Linked DNA regions of Saccharomyces cerevisiae S288C. The gene in region 1 interacts genetically with each later gene. Each region holds a gene or a part of one and is shown on either strand. Other genes may lie near its edges.

Evidence for each region.
Region 2: mutations in YPR148C (region 1) and YML020W together harm fitness more than expected from each alone (negative genetic interaction), as found in Saccharomyces cerevisiae (one large-scale study listed by BioGRID).

What each region holds. Positions count from the first base shown.
Region 1 is NC_001148.4:826,333-839,832, reverse strand, and holds YPR148C (uncharacterized protein), read left to right. Parts: upstream 1-11,692; coding exon 11,693-13,000; downstream 13,001-13,500. Other genes in the region: TPO3 (spermine transporter), read left to right, coding at 56-1,924; NCA2 (Nca2p), read left to right, coding at 2,420-4,270; PIN3 (Pin3p), read right to left, coding at 4,621-5,268; MAY24 (May24p), read right to left, coding at 5,588-6,005, 6,140-6,144; URN1 (Urn1p), read left to right, coding at 6,375-7,772; SUE1 (Sue1p), read left to right, coding at 8,158-8,778; NCE102 (Nce102p), read right to left, coding at 9,394-9,915; YPR147C (bifunctional triacylglycerol lipase/ester hydrolase), read left to right, coding at 13,274-13,500.
Region 2 is NC_001145.3:228,882-233,643, forward strand, and holds YML020W (uncharacterized protein), read left to right. Parts: upstream 1-2,267; coding exon 2,268-4,262; downstream 4,263-4,762. Other genes in the region: adenine phosphoribosyltransferase APT1, read left to right, coding at 56-619; UNG1 (uracil-DNA glycosylase), read right to left, coding at 853-1,932; OST6 (dolichyl-diphosphooligosaccharide--protein glycotransferase), read left to right, coding at 4,576-4,762.

The DNA.
Region 1 (13,500 bases):
TTACTTCATTATTTTAATTTTGCATTAGTACTCCTCTAGCCAAAGATAAACAGAAATGAACAGACAGGAATCCATAAATTCGTTTAATTCAGACGAAACATCTTCGTTGTCTGATGTAGAAAGTCAGCAGCCGCAACAATATATCCCTTCAGAGAGTGGATCTAAATCCAACATGGCTCCTAATCAACTGAAGTTGACCCGGACGGAAACCGTGAAGTCATTGCAGGACATGGGTGTGAGCTCCAAAGCCCCCGTTCCTGATGTTAATGCTCCTCAATCTAGCAAGAATAAGATTTTTCCTGAAGAATATACTTTAGAAACCCCTACAGGTTTAGTTCCTGTCGCCACTCTACATTCCATAGGTAGAACTTCTACTGCGATTTCCCGTACGAGAACTAGACAGATCGATGGCGCTTCTTCGCCTTCTTCTAATGAAGATGCTTTAGAAAGTGATAATAACGAAAAGGGTAAAGAAGGCGACTCTAGTGGTGCGAATGACGAAGCTCCAGATCTAGATCCGGAAATTGAATTCGTTACCTTTGTGACTGGCGATCCAGAAAACCCCCATAACTGGCCTGCATGGATCCGTTGGAGTTACACTGTCCTACTGTCAATCTTAGTTATTTGTGTCGCCTACGGGTCTGCTTGTATCAGTGGTGGGTTGGGAACCGTTGAAAAGAAATACCATGTAGGTATGGAAGCCGCTATTTTATCGGTTTCTTTAATGGTTATTGGGTTCTCGCTGGGTCCTTTGATTTGGTCTCCTGTTAGTGATCTTTACGGTAGAAGAGTTGCTTACTTTGTTTCTATGGGTCTTTATGTCATCTTCAATATCCCTTGCGCCTTAGCTCCAAATCTAGGTAGTCTTTTAGCTTGTAGATTTTTATGTGGTGTTTGGTCATCATCTGGTTTGTGTTTAGTTGGTGGGTCTATTGCCGATATGTTCCCAAGTGAAACAAGAGGTAAGGCTATTGCTTTCTTCGCTTTTGCTCCTTACGTTGGTCCCGTTGTTGGTCCACTAGTTAACGGTTTTATTTCCGTTTCTACCGGACGTATGGACCTGATTTTCTGGGTCAATATGGCCTTTGCAGGTGTTATGTGGATCATATCTTCTGCCATCCCAGAAACGTACGCTCCAGTTATCTTGAAGAGAAAGGCTGCTAGATTAAGAAAGGAAACTGGTAATCCCAAGATTATGACTGAGCAGGAAGCGCAAGGTGTCAGTATGGGTGAAATGATGAGGGCTTGTCTGTTGAGACCTTTGTACTTCTCTGTCACTGAACCTGTTCTAGTTGCTACTTGTTTCTACGTGTGTTTGATTTACTCTCTACTATATGCGTTCTTCTTTGCCTTCCCTGTCATTTTCGGTGAACTATATGGCTACAAAGACAACCTTGTGGGTTTGATGTTTATTCCTATTGTTATCGGTGCTCTTTGGGCGTTAGCCACAACTTTCTACTGTGAAAACAAGTATTTACAAATTGTCAAACAGCGTAAACCTACTCCTGAAGATCGTTTGCTAGGTGCTAAGATCGGTGCTCCATTTGCTGCAATTGCTTTATGGATCCTGGGTGCTACCGCTTATAAACATATTATTTGGGTTGGTCCAGCTTCAGCTGGTTTAGCTTTTGGTTTCGGTATGGTGTTGATTTATTATTCATTGAATAATTACATTATTGATTGCTACGTCCAATACGCATCCAGTGCTCTGGCTACAAAGGTTTTCTTAAGATCCGCCGGTGGTGCTGCCTTCCCCTTGTTTACCATTCAAATGTACCACAAATTGAATCTGCACTGGGGTTCTTGGTTGTTGGCTTTCATCTCCACTGCTATGATTGCTTTACCTTTTGCATTTTCTTACTGGGGCAAAGGTTTGAGACATAAGTTATCCAAGAAGGATTATTCCATAGATAGTATTGAATAAGAGTAACGATTTTACGAATCGAGCATAATAATGAAAAATTATAGTAGTAGTAATGATAAAAACATAAGCAAACATAAGCAAACATAAGCAAACATATCAAACATGCATTCAAACCATTATCCGACAGTAATGTACATATATTTTTACGTATTTTACATTCTTTCTCTATTGTTCTTTTATCTATTGCTATCCTAAACAAATATATTGATTGACCTTCAAACCGTGAGTAACTTTATTAATTTATATGTATAGAAAAAAAAAAAAATTGAATTAGAAATTTGAACTTCTCAAGTTCATTCTTCTTGTACCTATGCGATGACTTTATTTTCGGTTTTTACATTCCTCCTCATTTGACCGAGGAATACGAATTTGATTGACCCCCACTCACTAAACAAAGGGTCGGAATTCTTTTCCACTTTAAAACTTAGTAATAACAACAAAGTCAACAAAATAGTCCTATTGCAAAATTGCAGGTTCCTTAATTAATATTCTTAAATGATCATCAATAGGCGTATTTTGAAATCTTTTGAAGAGATAAGTCATTCATTAGAGGAATCACTACGAGAGGTTGCATTTGATTCACAGCAACAATTGATTCAAGACGTACGTGAGGAAAATGAAGAACTAAGTAGGTTACAAGATCAATTACAATTGATCAGGTCAATTGTTGAAAAAATCTGCATTTCAATCAAAACTGACAATATTGACTCTTATTGTTCGGTGCCTTTTGATTTGCTATACAATATTTGCAAGGACATTGCTGATCCCTCATCCTTTGAAGACGGAGATTTGCAATATCTTGTTAGCCAAGCCATATTTGAGTACATTATATTATTGTGCTACTATTCTGTGACCAACGAATGCGTCCAAGGTTTACCTGCCGTGTATGAAGCTGAACAGTACTACAAAACAGTAAGTGATTCAATCCTAAAGTCTTTTCTTTACTGTTTACAAAATTCAGTATCGACAATACGTCTTTTATCTCAAACTGTTTTGAAGGATGTAAATAAGAAAAAACTGTCGCATCAAAAATGGTCCCTAAAGGCCTTGTCAGTTGATTTACTAGAAAAAATACGCCCAAGAATAAACAAATTTATGGTGATTCGGAACTTCAGGTTTGTCGGGCTACCGAAGAAACCAATTGAAATAGCTTCATTGGTTTCTGATATACCTCGCGGTATAGTGCACGAAAGACTTGATATGGTCACTCAATCATCAAAGTATTATACTATTAAACTGGGGCAGTTGATCACTGAATTCGATCAACAACCAGAAGAAAATGGTATGTTCACCGAAGTACATTTACCGAACTACGAAAGACGTCTAAAATCTTTACAGGACTTCTTTGGATTAGCCATGTCTGATTCGAATTTACTAGATGTGATCCGATGCTCAGCGAAATTTCATAAAGATCATCCTTTAAGAAGGTTCACTAAACCAAGTATATTGACTAGATACTGGCCTTCAATTTTGTTGTGTCTTTTATATGGACCATCTTCTGTTATGTCGTTGTGGAATTCCCGGTATTTTATTCAAGATTTCATTAAGACCAATGTCGTTGACTTTGCGAAAGGGCTGATCTTGAACTGGTTATGGGCACCCCTGAAACAGGTTTGGTCTACTGTTAAGCATGACGAGGGAAGCGCCATTTCAGTGACATCACAGGAGACATTAAACTCTGACATGGATTCTCTTACCAGAATGATTGTTAGTTTTGTTGTGGATAATAGTGATTCGACGTCTAACAGCCCCATAGACCCTATTCTATTGAGTACTAAAGTCGAACATGGTGATTTGACCGAATTTATGGAAATATATGAAACACAACTACATCATCCGATAAAGAATATAGCTACGGGTGGATTAGTCAGGTCTTTATTGATTCAACTGCAAAAAACAAAAGTCGATGGATCTATGGCATTGAATGGCATTGATAAAATGCTGAAATCGCAACAGTTGGTGTTTGGAGTTGTAGCATTATCTCCGGCTTTAGTGATACTATATTCTTCTATAGTGGCGTTAAAAAGATTTGTCAAACTAGGCAATGTCTGGTCTAATGAAAAACGGTATAGGGAGCAAATAAGTATAAGTTTGAATAATGTGGAAAGAGTTTTGAATTATTCTAAACAAGGTGCGGACGCCGATGAGGAACACTTAAACCAGGGTCTACTAGTGATTGAGGTTTCTAACTTATACAAATTGGGAAGTTTTTTGATCCCGCGTTCAAGAAAGAAAGAATGGTTTAGGGACGTTGAGGAACTGGTGGATACCAATCTTGACTCCGGAGCTCATATAAATGTCGTCAACAGGATATACCACGTATATGGCAGGTTTTTAATCCATTAGCGTATAGCCTGCTGGGGAAGAAGAAAGGGAAGATATTGAATATATTCTTAATGTATTTTTTGTACAGACGTAAATATAAAGAAATCAACGCAAAATCGACGCCTTTTTACTTTTTATACTTTTTTACTAAAAAGACAGATTTTCTCGCTCATATCATAAGTGATGTACTATTATCCTCCATATACGATATATCTGTTTAAAAAAAAAGAAAAAAAAAGGTTACTTAAATTCATACTCATTAGAAAAAAATTCTAGGGATAACAACACCAAAGGTAGAACTTCGTTCAATTTATGAAAGGTTTGGCCATAATGGAGAACAAATGAATGAAGTATATAAAGAGAAAAACGACTTAAAAGATATTATTAACAATATCTGACCCAATACTAGCGCCTGCCCCAAAAATGGCGGCATTACCCAATTTGCTACCAAAGCTCTTCAAGTGGCTATGTGAGCTCTGATGTTGTTGTTGTTGTTGTTGTTGTTGGGGAGGAGGAGCTTGTTGCGGCTGTTGTTGAGGCTGCTGATAATAATTTGTGGAAGGTGGAGGAAATGGCTGCTGTTGATAAGATGATGCGGCACTATTTTGCGTGGGGATTTGTTGTAATTCTTGAGCTTTATACTGTGGAGGTGGTGGAAGATTGGATGGACCGTTAGACCCAGAGAAAGCTGGCTTGACATAGTTTGCTGGGAAAATACCGGTACGGCCATTACAGCTACCCTTGTACCACTCTGGAGATAATTTTTCTAAAAGTTGGACCTTGTCACCTGGTTTTAAGCCCAAATCACCATCTTGTTGAGGATCAAATTGATAAAGAGCTTCGACATATTCCAAGGAAGCTGGACTGGCGTTGCGGGGTGCATTGGCAGGATCCCATTTTGCCGGCAAGCTCTTATTTATTTGATCGTAAACGTCATTTGAAATGACATTTGACCCTTTTAGAAAATCCAGTTCTGTCCTAATGTTTGTTAAGGAACGATTAATCAATGAAGCAGACATTTTTGAAATATCAGATTGCCTTCTTTCCTAATGTTCTTGTGTTTGCGCCAATGTGGGCACTTTGCCTATTGTCTCAACCGATTTGAGGTTCGACTATATATGCAGCTTACAATATCCATCCCCGCCTCGAAGGAGGCTCGGTTAATCACGCTGCACGAACGAAAACAATAGTTAAAGAAACGTTTAGAACAATCTAGCGCTTTGAAGAAAGAGTATTAGGCTCTTTACGTGAAGGATGGCACATTCTCATTCAAAAGTTGCTGCTAACTTTTATCATCAAATCAGTAAACCCCTTCTTGTTTTTTCTTGACAGAAGCTTTCACATAACGGAACCAACCATGGAATAACTTAGCACCACATCGAAAAGGATTTGGACTACTGCGCAACAAAGTGGGACCCATGTAGACATAGAAAATAAACCAGATCTATAGATCGCACCTATTAAAAACCCCATAACTGTACCAGTCGTCAAGCCTTGAACGCCTCCGTATAAGACGTACATGACGAATATCCATACACTTCCAGCCTTCTTTCTATGGGTCAAGCTAGCATACACACCAGCAGTAACGTAAAATGCACCATTAAAGATCAAAGTCCAGTACAGCGAAAATTTCCAAATGTCAGATATATAGTATAAGAATGCAGTATTATACTTCGAGTTGTTGATGGGCCAGTATAATGAGGGGAATTTTGGCGTTACATATCCAACAGGTATATCGTTATTTGTTACGAATGATCTGAGCACAGGGAACATGCGACAGAGTAGTGGATGTTTTTATTGTTAGTTTTGTGCCTATTATTTTCTTAAGCCACAGGGAGCGATGCCTGCATCCAGCCGTGGCGGATATAGTCTTGGTAATGAATAACATACCTCATAATACGGCAGGAAGTTGGAACTGATCTTGTTGGCAGTTTTTATCTTATACAGAAGCGTCAAGAGTAGGAAAAGGTTTTATTATTGCATATTTATCAACTTTCAGTATGTTTCTTTTTTTCTTCGGCAATGAAAGAGAAAACAATATAATTGAAGAAAGAGGAAATAGTGTCCGAAAGAGATTCTGATATGTATTATAAAGAGAAAGACAGTTCAGTAACACAGAATCGCCATGCGTGGAGAATGGCAGGAATTTAAGACACCTGCAGGCAAAAAGTATTACTATAATAAGAACACGAAGCAGTCTCGATGGGAAAAACCTAATTTGAAGAAAGGCTCTAACCTAGAAAGCAATGCGAAAGAATCACAGACAGAGAGGAAGCCAACATTTTCATTAGAACTGGTTAATGGTTGGCACTTAATAATATACAACGATGGTACAAAACTTTACTTTAATGATGACTCTAAGGAGTTCAAAAATGACATCAGTCAAGAGGACGACAGCAGGTGTCGCTCATTAATCGAGTCGTTAGATAAGGAAAAACTGGTTCTTCTGATTGGCGTTGCCAGAGGTTACACTATGCGGGAGGAGGACATTGATAAAATCCTCGAATCTTGCAACGAAGAGATTCATCTATTTAAAAGAAATCAAGACGAAGTTGAGAGAAAAGATGAGATCAGCGAAGAGGCGGGTGACGTAAAATCCCCTTTACAGGAAAGCCACACTGGGCTAGTCAGCGGGTATGGTTCATCTTCGGGGGAGGAAGACGAAGAGGAAGACGAAGAGGAAGACGAAGAGAATGAAGAACAAATTGTAAATCAAGATATCAGCATTATCGATGATCTGAATCGTATTGATACAGATGACATTGACGAGCGTAATATCTTCTTCGAATTATTCGATAGGTATAAACTAGACAAGTTTTCCACGTGGTCGCTGCAAAGCAAGAAAATCGAAAACGATCCTGATTTTTACAAGATCAGAGATGACACAGTTCGTGAAAGTCTTTTCGAAGAATGGTGCGGCGAGCGCAGTGGCAATGCCACCGCTGAAGAAAGCGATAGCGAAGATAATAGCGAAGACGATAGCGAAGTACTAGAACCAACAAAATACCATTATCTGGCACAAATTGTTGCTAATGCGGGAACAATCGCACCCGACACCATCCCACAAGATATAAGGAAACAACAAAAAGCGTTATACAAGGCCTACAAAATCAAGGAGTATATACCGTCGAAGCGCGACCAAGACAAATTCGTTTCCCAACTGCTGTTTTATTATAAGACGTTCGACTTGGAACAGCGGAAAGAGATTTTCTGCGATTGCCTACGGGATCACGAACGAGACTTTACGGGGGCAGTCGAATCGCTGCGTCAGGACAAAGAGCTTATCGACCGATGGCAAACACTTCTGAAAGCACCCGCGGACAGTAGTAGTATAGAGGATATATTGCTGAGCATTGAGCACAGGTGTTGTGTCAGCCCAATAGTGGTGACGGAACCACGCTACTACGTCGTGGGCATTCTGGAGAAGACCGTGGTCTGGGTGCGGTGGCTAGCCGCCGAGGTCGGGCCATCAAGCCGGTTTACCCCAGTGGGCGCGGGGAACGAGCCGATAAATCCGGAATAGGAAGGGCAGACCAGGGGAGCAAAGAGTGATTAAGCTTACGCACCTGGTATGGACGTGATGGAAGTGGGGTGGTGATAGCAACCAGAATACGGTAGGGTCTTTACGCTTAGTGTACCTATCGGTATTCAGGCTCTTTGCCAGTGATTGGGGCTGCGGGATCCGCCATCATATCTAGTCACTTTTGTATAAGAATGAATGATAAGAGCAGGTGCAATTTTCGGACTTTAGATGTTTCTTGTGTTTCATTATTTATAGCACATTTATTTTTTCCCTCTGAGTGTGTGTCTGCATGTATACATTTTAGTTGAATTATAGAGAGTAACGAAACACACACGCATACACGTATATACAAAGACATATATACGTACGGAAATAGTGAATAAGGATGATTTTATTAAAGAGGACAAAAATTAGGGGCGTCAGCGTCTCTTTTGTAAGCTTGCAAAGAAGGACTCACAGCAGACTGGTGAACCCCATAAGGCAGCAACATCAACAAATTACCAAGCAAAGGAGTTCAAAGATTTTAAAGAATGCGCATTTCTATGACTTTAGATCGCTGCCCAAAGTACCTACTACACAGTATTTGGAAGCTAGGGAGCTCACCCGCGATATTCTGTATAGCGGATACAGGCCAGTAATGTACCCAGTGAAGGAAAACCCGCTATTCAGAGATAAGAAGAGAAAGTCCTTGCAAACGTTATTAACAATGAACGAGAAAACAAACGCAGAGGCGAAGACGATCGATGAGAAAAAGCACAAGAACATATTGTTTGGTGAACGTGGCACTGGTGGTATAATGTCAGGTGGCGTGAACGGTACATGGAAGTACAATCCCACCGTACCCAATGAGCTGTTGCCATTCAATTGGTGGTCTACGTCCAGTATGGGTATGGAATATTTTCCTGAATGGAAAAACGTGCCCCCATATATGATGAGAAAGTTGAAGCCGTTTGACAAGGCACTGCAAATGCGGTTGACACACAAAAGCAAAAAAAAGATGAAATAAATAATAAATATTTGGCATATACATATGGAAAATGATTTTATAGCACGATTCCTCATACATAATAATAATAATAATAATAGGAAACAAAACTATTAATTTTTGTAACCGATTTGAACTCACATTAGGGATCCACGTCACGCCGTGCGCGGAACGGTAGGATGAAAAAGGATAAACAGAACTTACATACAAAAAACTCAAATCAACGCAACAGGTATGTAGTGAAGTAAAACTAGACAAAGAGAAGGATACTTTAGTTAGATATAAGAATAGTATGAAAAGATTAAAAATTAAAATATTAGAAGAACAAATTATAATAAAAGAAAGCGGGGTGAATGATAATAATAATAATAATAATAATAATATTAGTTAGAAATAAGACTTCTTCATAATCGTTAATGAAGAAGTGCATATGATTTGTTATTTTTTTTCTGGTATTTTTTTCATTTTTTTCGGGTTTTCCTTGGGTATAATTTTTTGTTTCTTCCGAAAGACGGAAAGGGATGAGGGAAAACGGAGTTTTCTTATTTGCTTTCTTTTTTCCCTAATTTATTCACGGTGTCCATTTATTATATTCTTAATTGAAAGTGGCGTAAAATTTAAGTTGGTGCGCTTCAATTAGACTTGGGAAATGGTTGGAACACCGACTTGGCCAGTTCTTCTTCTCTTGGAGAAAGAACCAGAACCAAAGGCACCATTGGAGATCATGTTGAAAACAGACATCAGGGTCTTAGCCAAAAAGATGGCACAAGAGAAGTAGAGGAATGCAACAGCGGCTTGAGCTTGTCTACATCTGGTACCGGAACCTTGAGTAATCTTGTTACTGTCAACGTATGAGCTGTTGTTACATGAGTGAGCTCTGATACCAACGGCCAACACTGTACCGGCAGTGAAAGTGAACACAAAGTTCAAAAAGTCCAGTGTGAACAAAACTAGTGGCCATGCCAATGGTTCAATGAAGTTGGCAAAGACACCGTACAATGAATCGGTGAATATACCATATGCACAAGCAAACATACAGTAGTTTACTCTGGAGCTGTGCCTATGTTGGGTGTTTAACAACGAACTGATTAAACCGATGGAAATAACCAAAAATAGGAAATTTATTATACGTAGAATGTTATCAGCTAGGGCTAGCATTATGGGATTATATTGTTATTAGGTATGCTTTGAGAAGAAAAGTTTTTTTAACCGATTTTTCTTATTGAAGATGTTTTTTAAAGAAATGTTTATTTATCCTTTTAAAAAAGCGCGATGAGCAGAAAAATTAAAAATGTAAAACCTTTTCAATTGTATTTTTTCTTGATCAATTGCGAACAAAATAGTGGTATAAGTTAAATTTTCTTAAAAAAAAAAAAGGAGACGTAGAAGAAGAAAGAAAAAAGTATCTTTTAATTACAAAACAAAGACTCTTTTATAAAGGAAAATCTGACAGAAGATTGGGGCCAAGGAATTTATAGGGGTATGATTTTTCTGTATACATATATGAGGAAGAGGGGAGGGAAATGGAAGAAGAAGTAGGAAGAAAAAAAAATCAAACCAATTCTAGTCAATTCCGTTAAGGCAGCAAGCTGCCCATAAGTTTCTGTGAGGGGGCGATCACTTTTATGTTTTGGGCATTTTAATTATGACGCAGAGGTCCGCGGACAAGGGGTTTGCGATGGACCTTTTAAAGCAACCTTGGGCCTACCTCAGGGAAATGCCCCTACCAACGTCACTAACGGGCGTGTGCCAAATGGGCCGATGCTCAGATGCGGCCGTTAAAATGGGGGTGGTGTTTCGGGGCCCCGTCCGTATGTGGAAATACCAAAACAGTAGGGACATGCATCCTTACATCATCCGGTCAATCATCAGGGTAATACATATTTTATACTTAATCCGAGATTCGGACCCCTAGTGACAGAATTAACCGCATAGAACCTCTCAAGCCCGTTTACAAACAAAAGCCGCATTGCATTCTCCTTCATGGGATGGTTTATCGAAATAGTTGGAATTCATTCAACAAGGATGTGATGCAACTACACAACAGTATGCTGAATGAAGGCCTATGGAAATAGCCGGGAGGAGGCAACAGTTCCTTTGTATCGGCAATCGGGCTCCGCGAGAAAGCCGCGTATTCCTCCTGGCTGCTTCCTTTCTCACCGCTGCCGAAAAGCTTAATTATCTGTATAGTTTGTTCCGATGAGCGAAACGGCGTTAACATCAAGGGTTAAGGTAGGGAAAGTGGGAATGACGAGAATTTTTTGCTACGCTTTTTTAGCAATTTAGTTTTGGAAATATTGTGGCTGCTCTTAATTGTCCGCCTAAGGAAAAGACATGAGCAACTATGCAACATAGGACAAAAGAAAGAAGAAAAAAGGAGATCTCCGGAGAGGCAGGCGGCTTTGCCGTTGATTGTAATCTCTTTGTTCAGGAAATTGATATAGTTAATTGTATATGGGATTAGCAGTTCTATTTCATGGATTGCAAATCAAACGTGTGGCTCCTCGAGCGGTAGAGACATCTTTCCCGCTGATGTGTGCAACTTCATATATGTTCATATATGAAATTACGTTTGATTGGGCAAACATATTCCTGCTTTAATAAATATACTCAATTGTTGCAGTTCGTGAAAATTGTAACACCACCTTGAAGTGCATTTCACGAGTGTGTAACTGGGCATTTTATGAAACTTCTTGAGTACTACTTGTGTAAAGAAAGCGAGGTTAGCAGTTTAGTTAGTTGGCTCTGCATCGCTTTTAACGAGGATTACTTCTCACTCTTAAATCGCTAGTTGGCTTTTTTTAGCACTCGACACGCATATCCCAGTTTTGGTTTTCATTTCTCTTGAAATAATAATGATCAGGGAAAAAAAGGTTGCAATACTTATACATCTGAACAGCAAAGTTAGGTAAAACCATAAAATTCTGGTTAGAAAATGTCTGGTTATTTTTCAGGGTTTTCTCTAAACAAGATCACCGATTCAATTGCCACCGCTGCTCACAAGACCCAAGACACTTTGAACAATGCATTAGCAAATGCAAATGTAAACTTAAATGACCCTCAAACAAGACTATCAATCAAATCGCGAACTAGATTTGTTCAGGAATCATTGGGTACTGTATCAGATATAAGTAAATTACCACCACAGTACCAATTCTTGGAGAAAAAAAGTGATTCCTTAGAGAAGGTATGTAAAAGGATTCTACTGGTGTCCAAAACGTTCGAAGTAGAGGGCTACGACTATCCACCAAATTTAACGGAGAGTATTTCGGATTGGTGGTCTCTCAATAAAGATGGCTGGTTTGGCTCTAAAAAATCCGAAAGTTCCACTAAAAAAAAGGGATCTAACCATGACGATGCTTTTTTGCCAAGGTCTTTTGCTCAAGCCATCTCAAAAGCCGCTGTTGACTGCGAATGTGAATTTCAAAATTTAGAACACAACGAAAAGGCAGAACTAAAGAAGAAAAAGGAGTCTATCAAAACTGCACAGACAACGGAAGCTCAGGGTGCCGACCATAATGAAGAAGACGAGGAAGATGAAGAAGATGAAGAAGATGATGAAGATTTGTCTAATTTGATCAAAGTTTTCGATTCGTGGTCGACATGCTATAAAAATATCGATGAAGGGAAGGCAGAGATGGATTCTATGATGGTCAAGGAATTCAACAAAAAATTAGAAACATTAATAAACCAAGACTTCAAGAAGGTCCATGACCTGCGCAAAAAAGTGGAAGAATCAAGACTCAAATTTGATACAATGCGTTATGAAGTCAAAGCAAAAGAAGCAGAGTTAGAGGCGAAAAAAGCTGAAGCCACAGGAGAAGCACATAGCAAGGATGTTAGCGCAAAGGACATTAGCGCAAACACTACCACCTCTTTTGACGAAACGCCTTCTACCGAGGATGAAAAGCCAAAATCAGAGGGTGCCGAAGAGGAATCAAAGAAAGAAGCGAATGAGCCTACTGTTGATGACGTTGCTGATAGAAAAGAAGATTTAAAGAGTAACAAAGTAAATGATGAGCCACCGATTGAAGAATCTGAGGATAATAAATTACTGGAAAAACTGGAGGATGAATTTGTCTCCAATACTACAGCAGCAGTGGAAACAATGGAAGAAATCACTGACAGTTCTGAAATTCTGGGCTTGATAAAACTGTTCCAGAATTTCCAGTTGGTTTACTTTAGACAATGTGTCCAAGAAGTGGAGGCAAACCTTAAAGTTCTAAATGGTTTGGAAATTTAGCAAATCAGGCAACTAAAACATTACTCATTCATGTATAAAGTAATTTGATTGTTATTTTTAAACATTATATATGATGTAAGTTTCTTCTATTTAACCGCTTGAATTGCGTCGCTGTCCTTACAATTCCTTACCCGAAAAGTATCGCAACTGGAAAGCGCTCATTAAGAGGAAAGGAAAACAGCATTAAAACGGCAGCAAAGCCCAAAACTACTGGAGGGAAAATAGACAGTCCGCTTGCTACGCCATTGCCCGCCTGCTCAATTCTAGTGACAAATGACTGTAAAAGAGTATACTAAATCGAAGTTGCCATGCTCGATATTGAATATCAAACCTACAGTCACTAAAAGTGGCGAGGATGCGCCTCTTCTAGTATGGATCCCTGGTAATCCTGGGCTTTTATACTATTATCAAGAAATGCTACATCATCTACACTTGAAGCACCCAGATTGGGAAATTCTTGGCATATCCCATGCCGGAATGACATTGAACGCTCATTCTAA
Region 2 (4,762 bases), on another chromosome or scaffold:
TTTTCACGCATTTTGCCTGCTTCAAAGAAATCTATCGCAAATATTCCTACTAATCATGTCTATAGCAAGTTATGCCCAAGAGTTGAAGTTGGCTTTACATCAATATCCAAACTTCCCTAGTGAAGGCATTCTCTTCGAAGATTTCTTACCCATTTTCAGGAACCCAGGTCTTTTCCAGAAGTTGATCGATGCTTTCAAACTGCATTTAGAAGAAGCTTTTCCAGAAGTTAAAATTGATTATATCGTCGGGTTGGAATCCCGTGGGTTCTTGTTCGGACCAACTTTAGCTTTGGCCCTAGGTGTTGGTTTCGTTCCAGTCAGGAAGGCAGGTAAGCTACCTGGCGAATGTTTTAAGGCTACGTACGAAAAGGAGTACGGTTCTGATCTTTTTGAGATACAGAAAAACGCTATTCCAGCAGGTTCCAACGTTATCATTGTTGATGACATTATTGCCACTGGTGGTTCTGCTGCTGCAGCCGGCGAATTAGTTGAACAACTCGAAGCCAACCTTTTGGAATATAACTTTGTTATGGAGTTGGATTTCTTGAAAGGCAGGAGTAAGTTGAATGCTCCAGTGTTCACTTTACTGAACGCTCAAAAGGAAGCGTTGAAAAAATGATATGTTTCACGTCCTGACCCATATTCAAGCTTCCTTTCTGCCGGTTTCAAGCAATTTATTTTTCTTACTTCTCCTTACTCTCTCAATTTGGTTGTATAATATTTACTTTTTAGATTGAAAAATATTCAATCCACTTTTCTGCTTTGTGCCACAAAGTAGTCTATTTAGTTTTTTATCTATTATATGCTTTTAAAGAGTTTGGAAATCGAGACCTGCATATGCAATAGTAATATTCAAGGGTCCTTTGATTCTGACTCTAAGCGAGCATTTGCCTCCTGAACTTCTCTTAATGACGTTCCAGGAACAACACTCCAGTCTATCATTTTCTCTCCGCGGGTATTGTATAGCCAATCGTTTATCATTTTGAAATGGTTGGTACCAAAAAATCCTCTACTTGCACTTAATGGAGACGGATGCACTGACTTCATCACCATGATATTAGGGTACTTACTACCGCTTCCAACGGAAGTAGATCCCAACAGAGACTCTACTAATTTGATAGCATTGTTCCCCCATAAGAGGAATACTAAACTCTTACCGTCGGCCTCTCTGTCCTGGATCAACAACTGAACTACCCTTTTTGTAAAAGTTTCCCAACCATGCTTAGAATGCGAGTTTGCATTATGTGCTCTTACAGTTAACGAGGTATTAAGCAATAAAACCCCTTGTGAAGCCCAGTGAGTTAAATCTCCCACTTTATTATCTTCAACAAAATCAGGATACTCTTGCTTCAGTTCCTTATATATGTTCTTTAATGACGGTGGTGCTGGTGTAGGGGGTTTGACGCTAAAAGCCAAGCCATGCGCCTGATTAAAGTTGTGGTAGGGATCTTGACCGATAATCACGACTTTAACTTTATTAAAAGGCGTTAGCCTGGTCCATGAGTAAATATCCTTTGCAGGCGGAAATACTGTATGATCAGCTTGCTCTTTAGTGACAAACTGTTTCAACTTTACAAAATATGGCTTTTTAAATTCATCCATTAAATGTGGAAACCACGAATCATCAATCGTTTCTAGCTCCAGCGACAGTAGTGTACGTAAATTGCTGCTCAAGTTCTTCGAATATACATCTTTTGCATTTGAATTAGCAGGATATTTGTCCGTGTTTGCCTCCTTTGCGACCGCCTTTGTCTCTGTCTTGATAGCTGCGCCATTTGTTATGGTCATGAAAGTAGCGCCCGATTTACCTTTCTTATTGGGCGCCTCATTAGTGCTTTTCTTTGTACCAAAGAAGTCTTCGATCGTAGTTTGCTTTCTCTTTCGAGCCACCGTCATAACTGAATTTGTTGGCAATCTTCTCATGCACCACATGTATGTGAACGGCTTGTGTACAGCTTCTGATAATATATATCATTATGGATGAATTACGCGTTGCGGACACATTCCAGGTTTTGACAATAGGGAAAATATTGAGTTTATATGTAAAGCTTTTTACAAGTCACTAATGTGAACAACGTGAGGTAATTCCATGGAAAGTTCATATAAGAATAGTTCGAAAACTATCTTTTTTATTCCCACCAGTCACTAGATTCGGCTTTATACATATAGTGGGCTTATCACTGCTCTTGGATAGCACTTTTGCACTACAAATAGACACCATTACGAAGAATTGGAAGAGACTTATATACAGAGTACCAGTAGGTAGAATGGTCACGACTCCATTGCATTCCTCGCCGAAAAGCAGTCTGAAATCTTCAACGACCTCACTGCGCTCAGTACATACTCAGTCTGGTCGTATGGGGCCTAGTGAGCCTAAGCACAGAACAACCAAATCCTGGTCTATATGGGGAGGTAATGACGAGGAAGAACCGGAGTTATCTAATAAAAATAAAGGAAAGGAAACCGCCCAAGACAACAGTCAAGAAAATGACAATGTTTCAAATGAGGGAACACGCTTGCACGATAATCAACAAACAACGATTTTAAAGGAAACCACCAGGATCGAGAAGGGTGAGAAGGACAAAAAAGACAGAAATGCAGCTATAGTAGAAAAAAACACAAGACCACGAGCATGGCCATTCTTTTGGGGCCGTAACAAAAAAGATCCGGAGCCGACGCATAACATTCCCACTGATGCGGATAATAACACTTTATCACGTTTAGCAAATAGTCTAAATCCGGCTCCTCTAACCAACACTTACATACCTTATAAACCTGATGCTATATTGATCAGAGATAAAGGTGTCAAAACTGCTAAGAAATTAACAGATGACATAGGCAATCAGTTTCCTAACATTGTTGTACCAAGTTTCGATATTTTACCGAAACAAACCATATGGAATACAGTCACATCCACAATTTGGAAGTGGAAGACTGAATACTGGGATAGAAGACCTTCATCAAGGGTACGAGAGGGGGAAGAACAGGTGCAGCACTCACAAAATCAGTTAAAAGAGGAAACAAACACAGTTGCAAACGAGGCAAAAGATGAGGAGCGGTTGGAACACAACAGAGGATCTCTATTTAGGGTTGATCCATGGAAAAAAATAAACCTTCTATCAGATTACCAATCTAGGCCCATCAGAGTTCTCATTGTCGGCGTTCATGGGTTCTTTCCAACAAAAATTATTAGACCGTTTATTGGTGAGCCAACGGGTACATCTACCAAGTTTGTCACAGAAGCTGAGGAAATAGTGAAGGAATATTTTGATCAACATAAAGTACCCATTGAAATAAGCAAGATCGCTCTTGAAAGAGAAGGAGAGATATTTGATAGAGTAGATTTCTTCTACGAAGTTATGAAGCATTGGAGCAAAGAAATAAACAATTCTGATTTTATTTATTTTGTTAGCCATTCGCAGGGGTGTCCGGTAACCATTATGCTTTTAGCGAAGCTGATCAAAAACGGCATAATAAACCTTGATAATTCTCAATTTTTCAACGATGAAATTCAGTTTTGTTCGTCCAAAAAAATTATCTCGGTCTTGGCCATGGCAGGTATCAATAATGGTCCATTCTACGGTGCAGATCAAACTTTGTTTGTTCGTGCTTACCAGACGATTGAAAAAGACTCATTGAGGGAGTTATTCGAGTTTCAAAAGTTTGATTCCAAACAATCGCAAAGCTTCATAGAAGGCCTAAGAACAATCATATCAAATAACGTTAAGATTACATTTGTGGGATCCATCAATGATCAACTGGTCCCTCTGTATTCATCCACATGTCTTTTTGCCAACCATCCCAATATATTTCGGGCCATTTTTATTGATAGAGGATCACAAACTCCAGCATTTATCACTCGCATAGTTAAAATTGCTGGTTCACTCTTAAACCTGGGTTATAACGATCACGGAATCATAAAGGAAATAAGCGGATCTCTGGCGGGCACCCTGACAGGAGGTGGTCACTCTACCATTTATAATGAGAAACAGGTCTACCATCTGGGCATCAAATTTGCATTAGAAACAACCGATTTGTCCGAAATGTATCCAATTGAGTACTCACCATATAAATTGTCTGAGTTAGGAGCCAACCCCTATCGTCTGCCATGGTGTATGAGGGGATTGATGTACGAGTCCAACAAGCATTTCAGTAATGAAGAAATCAAGATGTTGTTTAAGGAATTTGAGGAATGGGAGCCTGAGACAAAGCAATTGAAGGACATAAAAAACAGGCTTAATGGTTTGAAATATCGACTCTGATAAAAAATACATCCAGCATGATACCAGCTTGCTTCCGCAAACGAAACATAACTTAAGGTACCGCAATTCAAAAAGGCATTCATACGTACAAATATTAACTATATCTGACATTATTTAGACTATCACAAGCAGTATTTATTTATTTATTTACTTATTTATTCATTTATTCATTTCCTTTTTAGTCTTTTATGCCAGTGAGCTACTGTCGCGAATTGAAAACTGCAAAAAAATAAAATAGGAACTTGGATTCAGAAGTTTTGATAATAAAATTGCATGTAGATGAGAGCCGCGAACTGAATCATACAAAAAAAATATGAAGTGGTGTAGCACATACATTATTATATGGCTCGCCATTATATTCCATAAGTTTCAGAAGTCCACAGCCACTGCATCCCATAATATAGATGATATTCTACAGTTGAAAGATGACACCGGTGTGATAACAGTGACCGCTGACAACTACCCACTGTTAAGCCGTGGTGTCCCAGGTTACTTCAATA